Linked DNA regions of Arabidopsis thaliana. The protein of the gene in region 2 interacts with the protein of the main gene of each other region in a pairwise test. Each region holds a gene or a part of one and is shown on either strand. Other genes may lie near its edges.

Region 1 (9,598 bases), on a different chromosome or scaffold from region 2:
ATACAATAGTTATTTAACAAATCATAATATTCGAAGCTAAATTATTGCTAATCTTCGGACTATCAATTATATCCCTCTAAAAACAACTAGTGTGTTCCTAAAGTGCTCATCCAACCAATTAACAACTCGATGAAAATTATGTTAATCAAACACGTGTATTAGCTTAAGCTGAACAACATAAGTATCTCTTTAACAGAAAAACATAAATATCTTCTAAGTAGTTACAGATATTTGATCATTTCTCAATAATCAACTAATTAAGAGTGGTAACCGTACTACTATCATATGTATATAAGTGTGCTAAAGGGTCTAGCCCTCTTACCAGAAACAGGGTCTTACCGTTTTTAATATGTAGTGAATTTCAAATAATATTGAATTATGGCCATACGTGATACGTGTAGTGTTAAAAACAAATCCAACTAAAATGTTATCGGAAGCTAAATTTTTGTTTGGGATAAAATGTAATTTTATTTTACCAAAATGGAACATAGTTAATTACAAAAGTTTATAAGGGTAATGAGTTTTAAAAAGGTAAAATTAAAATGCTAATTAGTTAGTTGAAAGTTGAACTAATAAATAAAACAACTATGAGATAAGCTAGGAATGTGCAAACCATTGAGCCAACCAGCTACTACAACCTTTACGATAACAACGAGCAAGCAGAGTGTCCCAGAGACCCATCTATCTCCTACAAAAATTGGTCGTCCAAACTGTTTTTTTTTTTTGTTACACAAACGTATCTCTATGTAAAAAATTGTAATAAGCCCAAAATTTAATCATATGAAGCCCATCTTAAGCCCAAATCCTATAACCAAATTTGGATTTATTTTGCGTGACGAGCTGTAAAACCTTAGAAAACCCTTCTTTCGCTGTTGTTGCCGGAGAAAATGGTGATGATGTTGAAGAAGACAGTGAAGAAAGGTTTAATCGGCGGAATGAGCTTCGCTAAAGACGCCGGAAAAATCAATTGGTTTCCCGGTCATATGGCTGCAGCTACTCGCGCCATTCGTAACCGCCTCAAGCTCTCCGATCTCGTTATCGAAGTTCGCGATGCTCGTGTCTGTAAACACTCACTCACACTATCTCTCTTTATATTCGATCCCTTTATCATCGTGGAAGGAATAATCTGAATTGTCGTTGTCTTTGTTTTTGGGTATTTTTGCAGATTCCTCTGTCATCGGCGAACGAAGATCTACAATCCCAAATGTCAGCTAAGAGACGTATCATTGCTCTGAATAAGAAAGATTTAGCAAACCCTAATGTTCTCAATGTAATTCGTTTTTTTGTGTGAACCTTTGTCTTTCTTTAACCTCTTGTTAGTCTCTGTGAGGTTGAGTTTCTGAATTTTTATGCAATTTATAGAAATGGACTCGTCATTTCGAATCCAGCAAGCAAGATTGTATTGCCATTAATGCTCATAGCAGAAGCTCTGTCATGAAGGTTAGATGATCCTCTTTACATTTAGGTTGGTGTGTTAAAACCAGTTATAGTTTCTTCACACATATAATTTGATGAGGATTTTCTACTACTGCGCATTGAAAAGTTACCTTCTTTGCATAATTTTTCGTATGTAGCTGCTTGATCTCGTGGAGTTGAAGCTCAAAGAAGTGATTGCTAGGGAGCCTACTTTACTTGTAATGGTGGTTGGTGTCCCCAATGTTGGAAAATCTGCGCTCATTAACTCGATCCATCAAATTGCAGCAGCTCGTTTTCCGGGTAAGATATTGGTGTCTCAGCTTATCAGCAGTGTTGAGTACACATTTCACAGATATAGTCCGGACTGTGAATCCGATTTCTCCAAACTTAAACTTACAAGTTAATTATTTCATGAACAGAATGATGAATGAAATGTAACGTGGCTTATTTCGTTATTGTATGCATTATGTGCATAGTGCAGGAGAGATTAAAGAGAGCTACGGTTGGTCCATTGCCTGGTGTAACACAAGATATTGCTGGTTTCAAGGTAATCTTTATTTGAAAATCCTCTTTTTTCCGTATGCCTGTTAATTGTTTGTGGATTTGCTTCAGCATGATTTTTGAACACATGATGAAAATGTTCTGTGGTACAGATTGCTCATCGACCTAGTATATATGTTCTAGACTCCCCTGGTGTGTTGGTTCCAAGTATCCCTGATATCGAAACCGGTTTGAAGCTTGCTCTTTCAGGTTCTTATCTATATCTTTATCTCCTTTCTCTTCTTTCTTCTTGGTGCTAGATCGTGTAAACCCGTACACTAGATTTAGTTCATCAAATGATGATACAGTTTAGGTCTTATAATCTCAGTTCTTAGTTTTTCTCTAATATAGGGCCGTATTTCTTACAGCATATGATCTCTCTAGCTAATTGTTATGCGTTTGACATTCTAAGGGTCCGTTAAAGATTCAGTAGTGGGTGAAGAGCGGATTGCACAATACTTTCTAGCTATTCTAAACATTCGAGGGACTCCTCTTCATTGGAAGTACTTAGTTGAGGGAATAAACGAAGGGCCTCATGCAGACTGCATCGATAAGCCAAGCTATAACTTAAAGGATCTTCGACACCAGAGAACCAAACAACCAGATTCATCTGCTCTGCACTATGTCGGGGTTAGCATAATAACCTTATATCTCTACCTTGCTTTCCTTCTGAAATTGTCCTGACCAATGAAAGGTTCCCTGTCATCTACAGGATATGATTTCAGAAGTGCAACGATCACTGTATATAACACTCTCAGAATTTGATGGGGACACGGAGGATGAGAATGATTTAGAATGTTTGATAGAGCAACAGTTTGAAGTTCTACAAAAGGCATTGAAGATTCCTCACAAAGCATCCGAAGCAAGGTTAATGGTCTCCAAGAAATTTCTTACTTTGTTTAGGACAGGTAGACTTGGTCCCTTTATCCTTGACGATGTCCCTGAAACTGAAACTGACCACCCCAATTCAAAACGGGTAGTTGTTTTGTAAAATCTTAAAGCAAATTGTACCACATTATGCGTGCAGCTTAAGATGATGATTCTATTTGTTTACATTTGAGATTCAATGGCGTTGCTCCAGTAACTCCAAAGTATTTGAATGAACAAAATTGAATCATGATAAGATTTGGCATCTGCCAGAAACAATATCTATCTGGTGTCCTCATTTATTGGCCTCAATGAATTCTCGGTACTCTTTCTTCATCTTCACACCCGATATAGTCCTACACAGACTCGGAATCTTTAGCCAAACCTGAACACAATAATCTATGCAATTTTAAAACTGAGAGAACGTTTCCTAACCTGAGCATTTCCTTGTTCTTGAAGAACTGCACACATGGGGTTCCCATAATTCCAGCTGCTTCAGCAATTTCTTGATCTTCCTCGATGTCAATCTCAACAAAATGCACATCATGGTTATACTCATCGACCACCTGAAACAAAATGAAGGAGAAGTGAACAAATGGTCAAGTAAATCAGTCCAAAAAGATCTCTTCCGATGAGTTTCATTTCGACTAATAAAGGAATACCTTGTTCAAAATAGGCTTCAGAGTCCTACAGGGGCCACATGTTGGTGAAGTGTATAGTACCAATATAACTCTTGGACTCTCATGGTATAGTTTTCTAAGAGCATACTGAAAGCAGGGGAAAAAACATAAGGAGAAAGATGTGAGGCAGAGAAAATGCTTGTAGGTAACAAGTTAAGGTTCATATGTTAACAAACCTGTCCCTTGTGCTTTGTAAGAGTGATGTCAAACTTTTCTTGGACATCCCGTTGTGTGAATTCTTTCTTGGCCTCTTCAGTTTGAGGCTGTAACGTGAACATGAAAGAGAGTAAGCCTTGTGACGTGTGCTTAAGAGATAAGATATTTCTGAATATTTCCTACCTGGTGAAATTCAACAAGAAGATTGTTACTTGTGAGGTATCTCTCGGCTGACAAAGCAGCTATGCATCCTGATCCAGCAGCAGTTACAGCTTGTCTCCATTCGTGGTCCTAGAGTGACAAATAGGAGAATATAGCAAACACAATTATCGAACCAATATGACTTAAAAGAGTTAATACCAACACCGAAAAATTGCTAAAAGTTCCGAAGAATACCTGCACATCTCCTGCAGCAAATACACCTTCAACTGATGTATTTGATGTTCCTTCCCGAACCAAGACGTACCCGGAGCTGTCGAGTTCGACTTGGCCTTCCAATAACTGACTGTTTGGCGAATGCCCTATTCCATAAAACAATCCTTTTGCCTCCAGCTCAGTTTCTTCACCCGTATCAAGTCTTCTGAGTAGAATGCCAGACATCTGTCCCTTGGTGTTGCTCAATACGTCCACGGTTTCCGTGTTGTAATGCACTGTGATGTTTGGATTGTTGATCACTCTGAAACATTCGCCATAACCAACCTGTTAAAAAAACACTCAGGGTGTTGAAAAGACTCAACTTACGTTGTGCTCATTAGTCTATAATTCCGATAGCCAGCAAAAAAAAAAAGCACTCTACTGGTTGGTTATAAATTTACATGCAACGGAAATCATAACCAAAGGCTTTCCCAGATATATCCAATGGATTTGCGAGGGAACAGGGGATAGCAGTCAATACATGCAACAAAGAACGCTCAACATAGCTATGACAAAACACATTTCCTAGTTTGGACATAGCATTTATCTAGTTTTAACTGTTTATCTTCAGAAATCAAAGAAGAGGAGTAGAATATAAGGCAGACGTGATGAATATAAGAACTCACCTATCTTGCATAGCCTTGGAAGCTCTCAACTGATCTCTGCGAACAAGCAAATGAACATGACGGGCATATTTCGTGAGATACAAGGCTTCCTCTGTAGCCGTATCTCCTCCTCCAACCACGGCAAGTACTTGCCCCTTAAATAAAGGCGAAGCTCCATCACAGATAGCACAAGCACTTATCCCCCTACTCCAGAATTCTTCCTCTCGAGGTAACCTTAACCTCCTTGCTGTAGCGCCAGTGGCATATATAATACTATGGCACTTGACCTATAAAAAATGGAAACATCAGAAGAGAGCTGAAGCCAAAAAAAAAAAACTATTTAGAATTTGAAAAAGAAATAGTGAGAAAACAAAGAAAGATAATCACCTTACGTTCACTAGTTTGCACAGTAAAAGGAGCAGTTGTGACACTAAGAGATTCAACATCTTCTGGATACAACTCTGCTCCCCACCTCTCTGCTTGCTTTCTCATTCTACAATTTTCACACAATAAATAATTGCATCAGAAACATATAAGAAACGCCACAAACTAACAAAAGAATCAGACTATGTTATAGCTCACTTCTCCATTAAATCGGGACCCGTGATACCGTCTGGGAATCCCGGAAAATTCTCAACTTCAGTAGTTGTCATCAACTGTCCACCGGGAACTCCGCCCATCTGATACCCTTCAAAAACCACCGGCTTCAAATTGGCGCGCGCTGCATATATCGCCGCCGTATAACCGGCGGGACCGGAGCCTATAATCACTACATTCTCGATAATCTCGCCTGCAATTAATTATTAAAAAACCAACACAGAGCTCGATTACTTACACTGCCAAAAACCTTAAGAAAGAAGCAAAGAGGAACTCCTCAAGTACCTCCTGAAGAAGAAGAAGACGGAGAATTGGCGGTGGCGGAGACTCTGAGGCGGAGGGAATCAGAAGAGCGAGTTCGGGTTGGTTGACGGAGGAGATAGGAGCCGCCGTGACGTGTGGTAGTAGTAGTAGTGAGAAAGAAGAGATGAGGAGGAGGAGAAAGAGCGGATGAGGCGGCGGAGACACGGTGAGGCGATGAGACGGAGGCAATACCGATGCCTATCTTGGGAGACGCAGCCATATTTTTTTTGATTGCCTTACCTTTACCAGAGACCATACAATTGTCTCTTTGGCTTTGCAGTTAAAAAAAAACATCCCGATTTTCTGTTGGCGACTGTGCCTCACGCGCCTCAGCATTATCTCTTTGCTTCCAAGTCCACAGGCTTAGATGATTTTCAGCCGTTGGATATATGTGATGAAGCGACTGAACGGTGGAGATGTGTTTTGACTGATTTTACTTCGTCTTTTCAACGGAGGGATAAGCCAATCGCTTTTTTTTTAAGTGGGAAAGATCGCCAAGAGTTTAAGTGGACGGACGACGCTTTTTATATTGGGCCATAAATGGGCCTGTTTTGGTACTGAATATTTAGTCACGACGAAGATTCTTAAACCCACCGGAAAATGGGCTAATCTGTGTGCGGATTGCTTCGCCAAAAAGTTAGTACTAATAATTTATAAAGCATAACTAGCTAAATGCGAAGACTATATAGTTTACTTAGTTCTGAAGAGGTTGAAGTGGAAATGAAATGAACTAGGAGTTGGTGAGGGAAGGTGACAGACTATTTTTTCTTAAGTCAAAAAGTTAAGCTGACCAAAAAAGAGCAGCCCAATGAAAGCAAGGATCTTTATCTTTAGTCTAGTGTCTGAATTCCATGCACTTCCAATGTTTTAGTCAACAAAATGTACTTACATTTGATGACTTGATGTTGTATAGATTCGTTAGGAAGCCACATCACTAAACGTTAAGCATAACTTTATGGTTAAAAAAAAACCCCCCCACCGTGTTCTTACTTGTCATCCAAATTCGATCTGCCATTTGAAGTTTCCTAAGCTGTTCTTGATGACTATTCTTAAATTCGATGTTTATATCTTACCATCTAAATTAAGCCTTACAAGAGCTACATATCCAAGTAGTATATGCTGGAGTAGTTTTGTGATCCCTTAATCTTATTGTTCAACAAATAATTTCAACAGGACATATATATGGATCACTACTGTTAAAACGATATAGTAGAGCTTAAGCGTTAGGATTTGTATTATTAGTTGTCTCTCTCTTTTACAGACGCGTGGAAGGTACGCGCCGTCATAGGAACATTGTCGGTAATCCCCTTCAAACACCAGTAGTCAGTAGATCGATGACTTGAATTACATCACTGTCCCCTACTTTGACCAATAGAGATCTAAAGGTTTCCTTTCTTGCATTATTGTGCTAAAACCGACATTTACTTAAGTTACTTGATTATGTCTTGGAAAAAAAAAAAGATTTTAACTTTGGGAACTTTTATTCAACTGAAATTTTAAAGAATTATTTAATTTGGAATTCCTTCTATAAATTTACTGGCTTTTACCGTTATACGTTACCATAAACTTATATATATGATCAAATTCGACCGTGATGAATGATCACTTTTTTAACTTTCCATTCAGATCAACTGAACCCCCTTACTTTTTCTATATATACTCTTTTAAGCACTTGTTTATATATTATCAACAAATTAAGGTGTCGAAAGTAACATACAATTAGACAAAGCATGTATAGTCAAAAAGATAGATAGTCATCAATTTTGAAAAACGAGCAATTTACATGATCCTACAAAACAACAAAACTAACTATATGAAATATCAAGTTTATAATCATTTTTAAAAATACCATTACAAAAGATTTGTACTTTGAATATAATTTAACATGAAATTTAGAAAACGATCTGTTTAAGAATATAACTTCTGCTATGTGGTATTTTAACTGGTACTTTATAGAGAAAAAAAGATTGGTAATTAATGTGATATTTTTGCAATCCATATTATATATTCGAGAGATTTTACTAATGATAGTACTTGATTAATCATTAGAGAAAACTAAATCTTACAAATATAGGTAGACATGATGAATAATATGCATGATTTGCGTTTCGTAAATTGATAGTACCACCTCACCTAAAGGGGGTCCAAACGAGTTGCTTCATATCACAATATCCAATTTTACCAACATACATTAATATATGTGTATTCACATATATACCTCGTGATTAATATTTTTTTTAAAATCATTTTTCGTTTGTTTCCTATACGTCTAATCAAACACACACGTTACAACTAAAATTATATTGACAATATAGCTCGGTTGGTAAAAGCAACGACTACTGCAGTTTCCCTGAAAAACTTAAGACCAGTACTAAATATCAACTATACAAATTAAGTTGATATCAGTTTTTTTGGGGGTAAAGTAATCCAATATCATTCTAAAATTAAAAGCAAAATGTCGTTAGTTATACATGTTAGAGACGAGCGTTGTGTTTGAGAAAAAAAAGAGTTATGTCGTATAGTGGATTCGACGTAAATATTATCGATGGTTGGTTTCAAACCTGAAAAATTACATGTCATATTGTCATCAAACATCGATTTTCATTTGATATAAGAAAAATATATTTACAAACACAATCGTGTGTGTGTGTATGCATCATGATTATATGCATGTTAGTGTTAGAGTTACATATTCTATAGAATATGTAAATAGTTAGAAGCGTACGTTCCTTGAAAATTGTTCAAAGTATTTCTATTATTGTTTTCTTTTGTTAAAGTATTTCTATTATTGTCTCAACCACCTAATTAAATTAAATAACGTCTCTATCTCTTTCTATGGAGTCGTGTTACGTCTTTCTAGTTTGAGATCTTCTACTACTTGTTTTCTTCAAGAATAATAATTTTCGTTTTATATATGGAAGATGCTGGTGAACATTTACGGTGTAACGATAACGTTAACGACGAGGAGCGTTTGCCATTGGAGTTTATGATCGGAAACTCAACATCCACGGCGGAGCTACAGCCGCCTCCACCGTTCTTGGTAAAGACATACAAAGTGGTGGAGGATCCGACGACGGACGGGGTTATATCTTGGAACGAATACGGAACTGGTTTCGTCGTGTGGCAGCCGGCAGAATTCGCTAGAGATCTGTTACCAACACTTTTCAAGCATTGCAACTTCTCTAGCTTCGTTCGCCAGCTCAATACTTACGTACGTATATATGCTTCACTGTTTCAATCAGTATTTTAAACTATTTGTGTTTCTTTGAGTTTACTAAGTGTATTTGCTTAATTAAAGGCATTAATGAGTGTTGTTACAAAAATATTATAGGGTTTTCGAAAAGTAACGACGATAAGATGGGAATTTAGTAATGAGATGTTTCGAAAGGGGCAAAGAGAGCTTATGAGCAATATCCGAAGAAGGAAGAGCCAACATTGGTCACACAACAAGTCTAATCACCAGGTTGTACCAACAACAACGATGGTGAATCAAGAAGGTCATCAACGGATTGGGATTGATCATCACCATGAGGATCAACAGTCTTCCGCCACTTCATCCTCTTTCGTATACACTGCATTACTCGACGAAAACAAATGCTTGAAGAATGAAAACGAGTTATTAAGCTGCGAACTTGGGAAAACCAAGAAGAAATGCAAGCAGCTTATGGAGTTGGTGGAGAGATACAGAGGAGAAGACGAAGATGCAACTGATGAAAGTGATGATGAAGAAGATGAAGGGCTTAAGTTGTTCGGAGTAAAACTTGAATGAAACTAGATTGCTAGATTGATATTCGTAATATACCAGTTTCTTCATATTCTTAGAAGTTTTGCATAACTATATATAGTACTCTTTTAAGACATGCAAGATCAGAACATATGTCCGAGAAATATCGGATTCTTTGCTGTATTGGTTAAGTCTCGTGTTCATAACATGGTACATCGTGTGTATATATATAGCCATTAACTAAGAGAACGTTTTCTCATGTATTTGCGAAATTTAAAACTATTTTGGGTAGATGA
Region 2 (8,063 bases):
ACAAATGACCACTTGAGCAGACAAATGAATGGTGTGCCACTTTATTTTTGGAACTTTTGTCGATTCATTTGGAACTTTAAATTGATATTTTGGAGCTTTTCAAAAAGTAAATAGTGAATTGAAACGTTCAAACCTAGAACACTAGCAAGATGAAACATTATATGTTATCACATTACCTCATTATGTAGTAAGAAATAGTACAATTCATATAGCTTTCTATTAAACATTTAAAATGCAAGGGTTTAATGCATCACTATTACACCATTCAAATAAAGCTAAAAGAAATTAAAGTTTCAAAGTTAAATTTTCTTTGCCACTAGAGCATATACCTCTAATTTGTTTTGTTTTTTTTGTAAGATGAAAAAAAAATGTAAGCAAAGAAAAAAGGACAGTGGTGGGTGACTCTGGATGAAAAATGTTAGTGCAAAATCATGATACACATAGTAATAATTAAGGGGGTCGTAAAGTTAAAATAAACAAAATGCGCGGCTTGAAAATAATATAAAGCAGAGTTTTAGTGGCGAAATCCAATCCAAGTCAATTATAAGAGCATCTCCATGAGTAGTCTCTCACATAGTTTTTCATTAACTAAAAAATATAAAATAATAATAAAGTAGGAGAGAGATATGAGAGAGATTGAGAATAGTTTCTCTGCAGAGAAACTTTAGAATAATGATTGAGAGACTATGTGTATATATGTGTGTTTATTATTGGACATAAACTAAATCATAGTAAAATATTATTATATTTTTTTTTTGAGAGACTATGTGTATATATGTGTGTTTATTATTGGACATAAACTAAATCATAGTAAAATATTTTTTTTTTTTTTTTGAGAAACTTTTAAAGTATCTTACCAATGGAAATGGCCTAAACTTCCTAAAAAAATATATTATATTCTTAAAACTATTTCCAAGTTTCTAATTTGACCCCACAAAGGAGAAAAACCAACAAAAGGGCCCTTTCTGGTGGCATCTTTATCCCAAATTACACAGTGGTTTTCATATTTTATATATTATCTTTACATCAGAGTTTTTTTTTTCCCATCAACATGTATACGTAAAAGAAAACAACAAAAATTATAGCAAAATAACCCTTCTTGAATGGTAAAATATCTCGCAGATTTTATATCATAATTTTATATAGTTTACGATAATAAAGAAATGTGAGACTAAATAAATTCAACGAATAGGATATACACAGAATCCAGACTTTGGCATCCACGCGGCATAAAGAAATAGATCGAGTGTGATATACAACAAATCACAAATGTGCTCTCATTAATTTTAAAAAACCCAAATCTTTAATGTATTCGTAACGAGTCTGTCACTACATTAATAATAAGTCATTGAAATTGAAATCCACCAATAGTTGCACAGAAGAATTAATATATATTTCCATAACTCTCATAACACAAACTTCACCTTTTAACGAAGAAGAAGATATGTTCCCAAAACAAACGTTTTGACTTTTTTTTTGTTTTCTCATATTCTTTTATTTCACAACTTGTTATTTCCGCCGACTTCACCAGTCACCACCACCTTCATTTATTCATAAATACGTCTCTGTTCTGTTTTTGTTTCTGTTTCATTTTCATACATAATTAAGCCAACACGAGACGCAAGAGAGAGATAGGGAAAGAGATAAGAGCGACTCTGTTTTGTTGATCAAAATCCTTTTTTTTTGTTTGAGGGCTGAATTTGTTTGTTGATGGTCATCTAAATTTGTAACCTTTATCTGTTTTATTGAGTTGTGAAATTCAGAGAAAAAATAAATGAAGTTTTGTAAGAAGTATGAAGAGTACATGCAAGGACAGAAGGAGAAGAAGAATCTTCCTGGTGTTGGGTTTAAGAAACTCAAGAAGATTCTCAAGAGATGCAGGAGAAATCATGTTCCTTCTAGAATTTCTTTTACTGATGCAATCAACCACAATTGTTCTCGTGAATGCCCAGGTACTGTTCGACATAATTACCCTGTGAATGAATCATCATCCCCTGCTTTTCTCCTTTTGGTTTGAGAATTCAATATTGATTTTGTAGTTTGTGATGGGACTTTTTTCCCGGAGCTTCTCAAGGAAATGGAAGATGTTGTTGGATGGTTTAACGAGCATGCTCAGAAGCTTCTTGAGCTTCATTTAGCTTCTGGTTTTACAAAGTGTCTTACTTGGCTCAGAGGCAACAGTCGAAAAAAGGACCATCATGGTTTGATCCAAGAGGGTAAAGATTTGGTTAATTACGCTCTCATCAATGCCGTCGCCATTCGAAAAATCCTCAAGAAATATGACAAGGTTGATAATCATCTACTATTGTAAGATCCAAAGACTGATGATGGTCTTTTTAAGCACTTGTTTATTCAATATGTTTGGCATCTTTGTGTTGCAGATTCATGAGTCTAGGCAAGGACAAGCGTTTAAGACTCAGGTCCAGAAAATGCGAATAGAAATCCTTCAGTCACCGTGGCTCTGCGAGCTTATGGCGTTTCACATCAATCTGAAAGAATCTAAGAAGGAATCTGGAGCTACTATAACTTCTCCTCCTCCTCCTGTTCATGCATTGTTTGATGGTTGCGCTTTGACTTTCGACGATGGGAAGCCTTTACTTTCCTGCGAGCTCTCTGATTCCGTCAAAGTTGACATTGACTTGACTTGTTCAATATGCCTGGTAAGAAACTTAAGAAGAATCTCAATGTAGTTGACTTATTAGTAATCTGAAATATAGAAGAAAGTATCAGCCTATAGGGATAGAGTCTTAACTTTGTCGTGTCAAGGTGTTATTCCACTCTCCTCTTGCAGGTTCCACTTCAAAGACTAAGTCTTTAGCAATGAATATTTTTAAATGTAATGCTATTAATAAGTCTTTAACTTACGGATTACAATTGATTGGCGAAAAACAGGACACGGTGTTTGATCCAATATCTCTAACCTGCGGTCACATATATTGCTACATGTGTGCTTGCTCTGCTGCATCAGTAAACGTAGTTGATGGCTTGAAAACCGCAGAAGCAACTGAAAAATGCCCGCTTTGCCGTGAGGTTAGACACATTCTCCACTGCTAATTACGACTTAGTAGTCTACTAGTCTTCCTTGTTTTATGCACTAAATCTCTGTATTTTCGCCCATTCGATATCAGGATGGGGTTTATAAAGGTGCTGTTCACTTGGATGAGCTCAATATTTTACTTAAGCGAAGGTAAATGCATATACAACCATTCTTCTTTTAATCTTTAAAACCTGTCTCTAAAAAGACTGACTTACAATTTCCAAAACCTGCAATAATGCAGCTGCAGAGACTATTGGGAAGAAAGGCGTAAAACAGAGAGAGCAGAAAGGTTACAACAAGCAAAGGAATATTGGGATTACCAATGCCGAAGCTTCACTGGAATATGATATAGTTTGATTTGTGGCTTCTTAAGTGAGATTCTTGATTTTGATAATAAGATAGTAAAAATAATCTTAATTTTGATTTGCTTTCCTCTGTGAGTGTGTTTCCTTGCACAGAGAGTGACGATTTCTTTGTGAAAAAACTGAAAACTCTTAAGCATTAAATATGGTTTATAAGTTTGCATATGTCCTCTTCACCTCATAAAGATGCTTCTGAATAGAAAAAATACTGAATTCTGATTTATAGAAACTTCATAACCATTGTAGTGTTGTTGCAAGTTTATAACAAAATTGAACAAAGGATACAGAGATCATCATCATCATCATGAAACTAAAATCGGGTTCTTGTCTTTGTAAATCTGATATCTCGTACATAGCTTTCGAAGTGTTGCAACCGAATGCTGCATCGAGTTTAGCTTCCTGTCTCGGTACATGCCCTGTTCAAAGGAATAGATGTTAGAACTTAGAAAGAGTATCATCACACAGAGCAAAAATGATAGAATCAGTAGGATTATAGATCTAACCTCAATGTCATCACCATGTTTCTCCACCAAACGCCTTATATGTGTGCGTTGCATAGTGGTAAGCGGCTGTAAAGGAGCACTCTTTCCATCTTTTCTTTGCTTCCCCAATGCTGTCTTAAGATCTACACATCTCACAACAAAGCATTTCAACAATTAGTTACCACAAAAAGGAAACTTGCATCAACTCTGTAAATTGCTTAATAAACATAGTGATGAAAGAGTAATGAATCCAAAAGCTAATGAAGCAGATTCTTGCTTAATAACAGCTACATATAAATATTGTGTAGTTTTCATCAATGGCATCAACGTATATTCATGATTCTCTGTATATTTTGTCTACTAATATTGTAAGCTTGAGACAAGCATTTACAGAGATGATGATCAAGCAAACTAAGATTCTTCGTAGGTAAAATCAGTTTCATAGACATGAATTAGTAGAGAATCTGAAGCTTTACACAAGCATATCGTTAATGATGAACTAATGATGTTTGTTCCAAGAACTAAGATTCTTCATAGGTATAATTAGTTCTCCCAAATTCACCACTCCAAACCCTGATTTCTGCCCTAATTTCGAATTTCCTAAATACCAACTTCGAAAAACTAATCAATCCAGCGTGAATCTAAAATCGAATCAAAGACAGAGGAGAAAAACGTACCGTCTTCCTCAAGTTCGCTTCCAGAATCAATGGGCTCGAACTCCTTAGCAATAGGATCATCAGTCGGTGGCTCTACAGGTGGAGGAACGTTGAGGGAATCATCCTGAATCATATGGTCGGTACGAGCTCGGATACCAAGCAAATTAGGGTTAGAGATGACGCCAAAGGATTTGTAGTTCTGGATAACGCTAGCTTGATCGTCCCATTCAGGGACATCGTCTCCCATGAGAGCGCGGAGCTTGGGAGGGAAGTTGAAAGCTGGTTTAAAGATATTAGGGTTCTTCTTAGGAAGAGCAACGCGAACTTTAGCCCTAGAGTTCCTGTACTTTCTTCTCGACCTCGCCATCTCTCTCACTGATTTTTTATTTTCGCGATGGAGAAGAAAAAGCAGAGAGATGAAGTTCGCGGCGGAAAGGGTTTAACTACAAAGGGTTTACACGGTTCTCTAAAACGACGTCGTTCTGTTATTTACCTATTACAAATTATTTTAAACCGGTCGATGATATACGGTAATAGATACAATATTTGATTGGTTCAGTGGATCTTTTATAATTTTTTCACTGTAAATTTTGAAGTAAACTTATTCCAAAGAAAAGATTCATTTTTACAAAATTCGTATTTAGTACTCAAGGTTATGTGTGGATAAAAATCACATTCATTTATAATTTTAGATTTAACATACTCGTAAGAAGACTATTTTCTCAAAAATAATCACTCTCTAGGTAACTTTTGGTCCACAGATTCCGGTTTCGTGAAATCGTGCCTAGAGACAGAAAAAAAAGTTAGGGAGAACATAGAGCATCTCACAAACTCACTACAAGTCTACAATCGATGTGAGTGTTATACAAAAACCAAATGTGAACTCAACAATCCTAAGGATTCAAAATTTTGTGTAAATTACACAAAAATACAATAAATATTATAAAATTTTTTTAAAATAAAATAAAGATAAGTATTAAAAATTAAAAATTAAAATTAGATGTAAACTATATTGAACTTAAAACACCTCCTTCGAGGTTTTGATGTTATATCCAATTAGTTTACACAAAATTTAATAATTTAACATTTATAAGAAGTTTTATTAATATAAAAATATAGTGTTAAAATCATTTTTAAATATGGATGTTGTATCCAGTTTATACAAAATTTAAAAATTTAACACTTATAAGAAAAAACCTTATAGTTTAAAAACTTTATAGTTTTAATAGTAATAATATAAAAATATAGTTTTAAAAACATTTTTAAATAAATAAAAATAAGTGTTAAAAATTTAAATTAGGTATGAACCAATGACACTTCTTAGGAGTTTGGATGTTGTGTCCAATTAGATAACACAAAATTTAAAAATTTAACACTTATAAGAAAAAACTTGATAGTTTAAAAACCTTATAGTTTTAATAGTAGTAATATAAAATATAGTTTTAAAAACATTTTTAAATAAAATAAAAATAAGTGTTAAAAAGTTAAATTAAGTATAAACCATATTGAACCGATGACGCCTCTTAGGGGTTTGGACGTTGTGTCCAATTAGTTTACATAAAATTTAAAAATTTAACACATATAAGAAATTATTTATAGTTTAAAAACCTTATAGTTTTAATAGTAGACTAGTAGTAATACAAAATATAGTTTTAAAAACATTTTTGAATGAAATAAAAATAAGTGTTAAAAAGTTAAATTAATTGTAAACTATATATTGAACCGATGACGCGTCTTAGGGGTTTGGACGTTGTGTCCAATTAGTTTACACAAAATTTAAAATTTTAACACATATAATAAAAAACTTTATAAAGTTTTAATAGTAGTAATACAAAATATAGTTTTAAAAACATTTTTGAATGAAATAAAAATAAGTGTTAAAAAGTTAAATTAATTGTAAACTATATATTGAACCGATGACGCGTCTTAGGGGTTTGGACGTTGTGTCCAATTAGTTTACACAAAATTTAAAATTTTAACACATATAATAAAAAACTTTATAAAGTTTTAATAGTAGTAATATAAAATATAGTTTTAAAAACATTTTTGAATAAAATAAAAATAAGTGTTAAAAAGTTAAATTTAGTGTAAACCATATTGAACCGATGACGCCGCTTAGGGGTTTGGACGTTGTGTCCAATTAGTTTACACAAAATTTAAAAATTTAACACATATAAGAAAAACTTTATAGTTTAAAAACCTTATAGTTTGAATAGTAGTAATACAAAATATAGGTTTAAAAACATTTTTGAATAAAATAAAAATAAGTGTTAAAAAGTTAAATTAAGTGTAAACCATATTAAACCGATGACGCCGCTTAGGGATTTGGACGTTGTGTCCAATTAGTTTACACAAAATTTAAAAGTTTAACACATAAGAAAAAACCTTATAGTTTTAATAGTAGTAATACAAAATATAGTTTTAAAAACATTTTTGAATAAAATAAAAATAAGTGTTAAAAAGTTAAATTAAGTGTAAACTATATTAAAACGATGACGCCGCTTAGGGGTTTGGACGTTGTGTCCAATTAGTTTACACAAAATTTAAAAAATTTACACATATAAGAAAAAAATTTATAGTTTAAAAACCTTATAGTTTTAATAGTAATAATACAAAATATAGTTTTAATAGTAGTAATACAAAATATAGTTTTAAAAACATTTTTGAATAAAATAAAAATAAGTGTTAAAAGTTAAATTAAATGTAAACCATATTGAACCGATGACGCCGCTTAGGGGTTTGGACATTGTGTCCAATTAGTTTACACAAAATTTAAAAGTTTAACACATATAAGAAAAAACTTTATAGTTTAAAAACCTTATAGTTTTACTAGTAGTAATATAAAATATAGTTTTAAAAATATTTTTGAATAAAATAAAAATAAATGTTAAAAAATTAAATTAAGTGTAAATCATATTGAACCGATGACGCCTCTTAGGGGTATGGACGTTAACACTTATAAAAGAAAAACTTATAAAATTTAAAAATTTAACACTTATAAAAATTTACACAAAAATTTAAAATTTTAACATTTATAAAAATTTACACAAAAATTTTAACACTTATAAAAATTTAACAATTAGTTTACACAAAATTTTAAAATTTAACACTTATAAAAGAAAAACTTATAGTTTTAGTAAGAAAATAAAAAAGGGAGAAAAACAAAAATAAGAAAGGAGGAAAGTAAAATACCTTGTTGGGCTTGGGAAGCAAAAAGGGCCCAAAAAGCAAAGTCCATTCGAAAGCCTAATGTGGGTCCACCGTTCTCTTGTAGTTGTCTTCTCTCGTCAGAATTTTTTCTGATCTTCCGCTCGAAAAGTCCATTCGAAACCCTTAGACGAAACTCTCAGAATTTTTTCCGATCTTCCTCTTGTTGATCCTCTCACTCGAGCAGATCTGACGGCGAAGGCGAAGAAGCAAACGTCCGTTACTTATGGATCGATTGCTCTCAGGCTGGTTTTCATCGGAGTGTTGGCGTCGACATTAGCTTCGTCAGGCGATTGATAGTTTGATTATCATCTTCAGA

What was found.
Region 1: the proteins of AT1G02870 (region 2) and NTRC interact in a two-hybrid assay, tested with the Arabidopsis thaliana proteins (one large-scale study listed by BioGRID).

The regions. Positions count from the first base shown.
Region 1 is NC_003071.7:17,373,231-17,382,828, forward strand, and holds NTRC (NADPH-dependent thioredoxin reductase C), read right to left. Parts: upstream 5,830-9,598; 5' UTR 5,799-5,829; coding exon 5,561-5,798; intron 5,469-5,560; coding exon 5,261-5,468; intron 5,172-5,260; coding exon 5,066-5,171; intron 4,966-5,065; coding exon 4,700-4,965; intron 4,336-4,699; coding exon 4,056-4,335; intron 3,951-4,055; coding exon 3,843-3,950; intron 3,767-3,842; coding exon 3,680-3,766; intron 3,591-3,679; coding exon 3,486-3,590; intron 3,390-3,485; coding exon 3,259-3,389; intron 3,180-3,258; coding exon 3,119-3,179; 3' UTR 2,948-3,118; downstream 1-2,947. Other genes in the region: AT2G41670 (P-loop containing nucleoside triphosphate hydrolases superfamily protein), read left to right, coding at 888-1,058, 1,166-1,270, 1,363-1,440, 1,575-1,716, 1,893-1,963, 2,070-2,166, 2,369-2,586, 2,669-2,947; HSFB3 (heat shock transcription factor B3), read left to right, coding at 8,493-8,789, 8,910-9,347. UniProt on the Arabidopsis thaliana protein: Thioredoxin reductase (TR) that exhibits both TR and thioredoxin (Trx) activities. Contains a C-terminal functional Trx domain.
Region 2 is NC_003070.9:633,700-641,762, forward strand, and holds AT1G02870 (nucleolar-like protein), read right to left. Parts: upstream 4,983-8,063; 5' UTR 4,905-4,982; coding exon 4,559-4,904; intron 4,533-4,558; exon of another isoform or gene 4,073-4,532; intron 4,025-4,072; coding exon 3,903-4,024; intron 3,816-3,902; coding exon 3,702-3,815; 3' UTR 3,515-3,701; downstream 1-3,514. Other genes in the region: NLA (SPX (SYG1/Pho81/XPR1) domain-containing protein), read left to right, coding at 1,775-1,952, 2,040-2,287, 2,382-2,660, 2,893-3,030, 3,129-3,187, 3,279-3,384.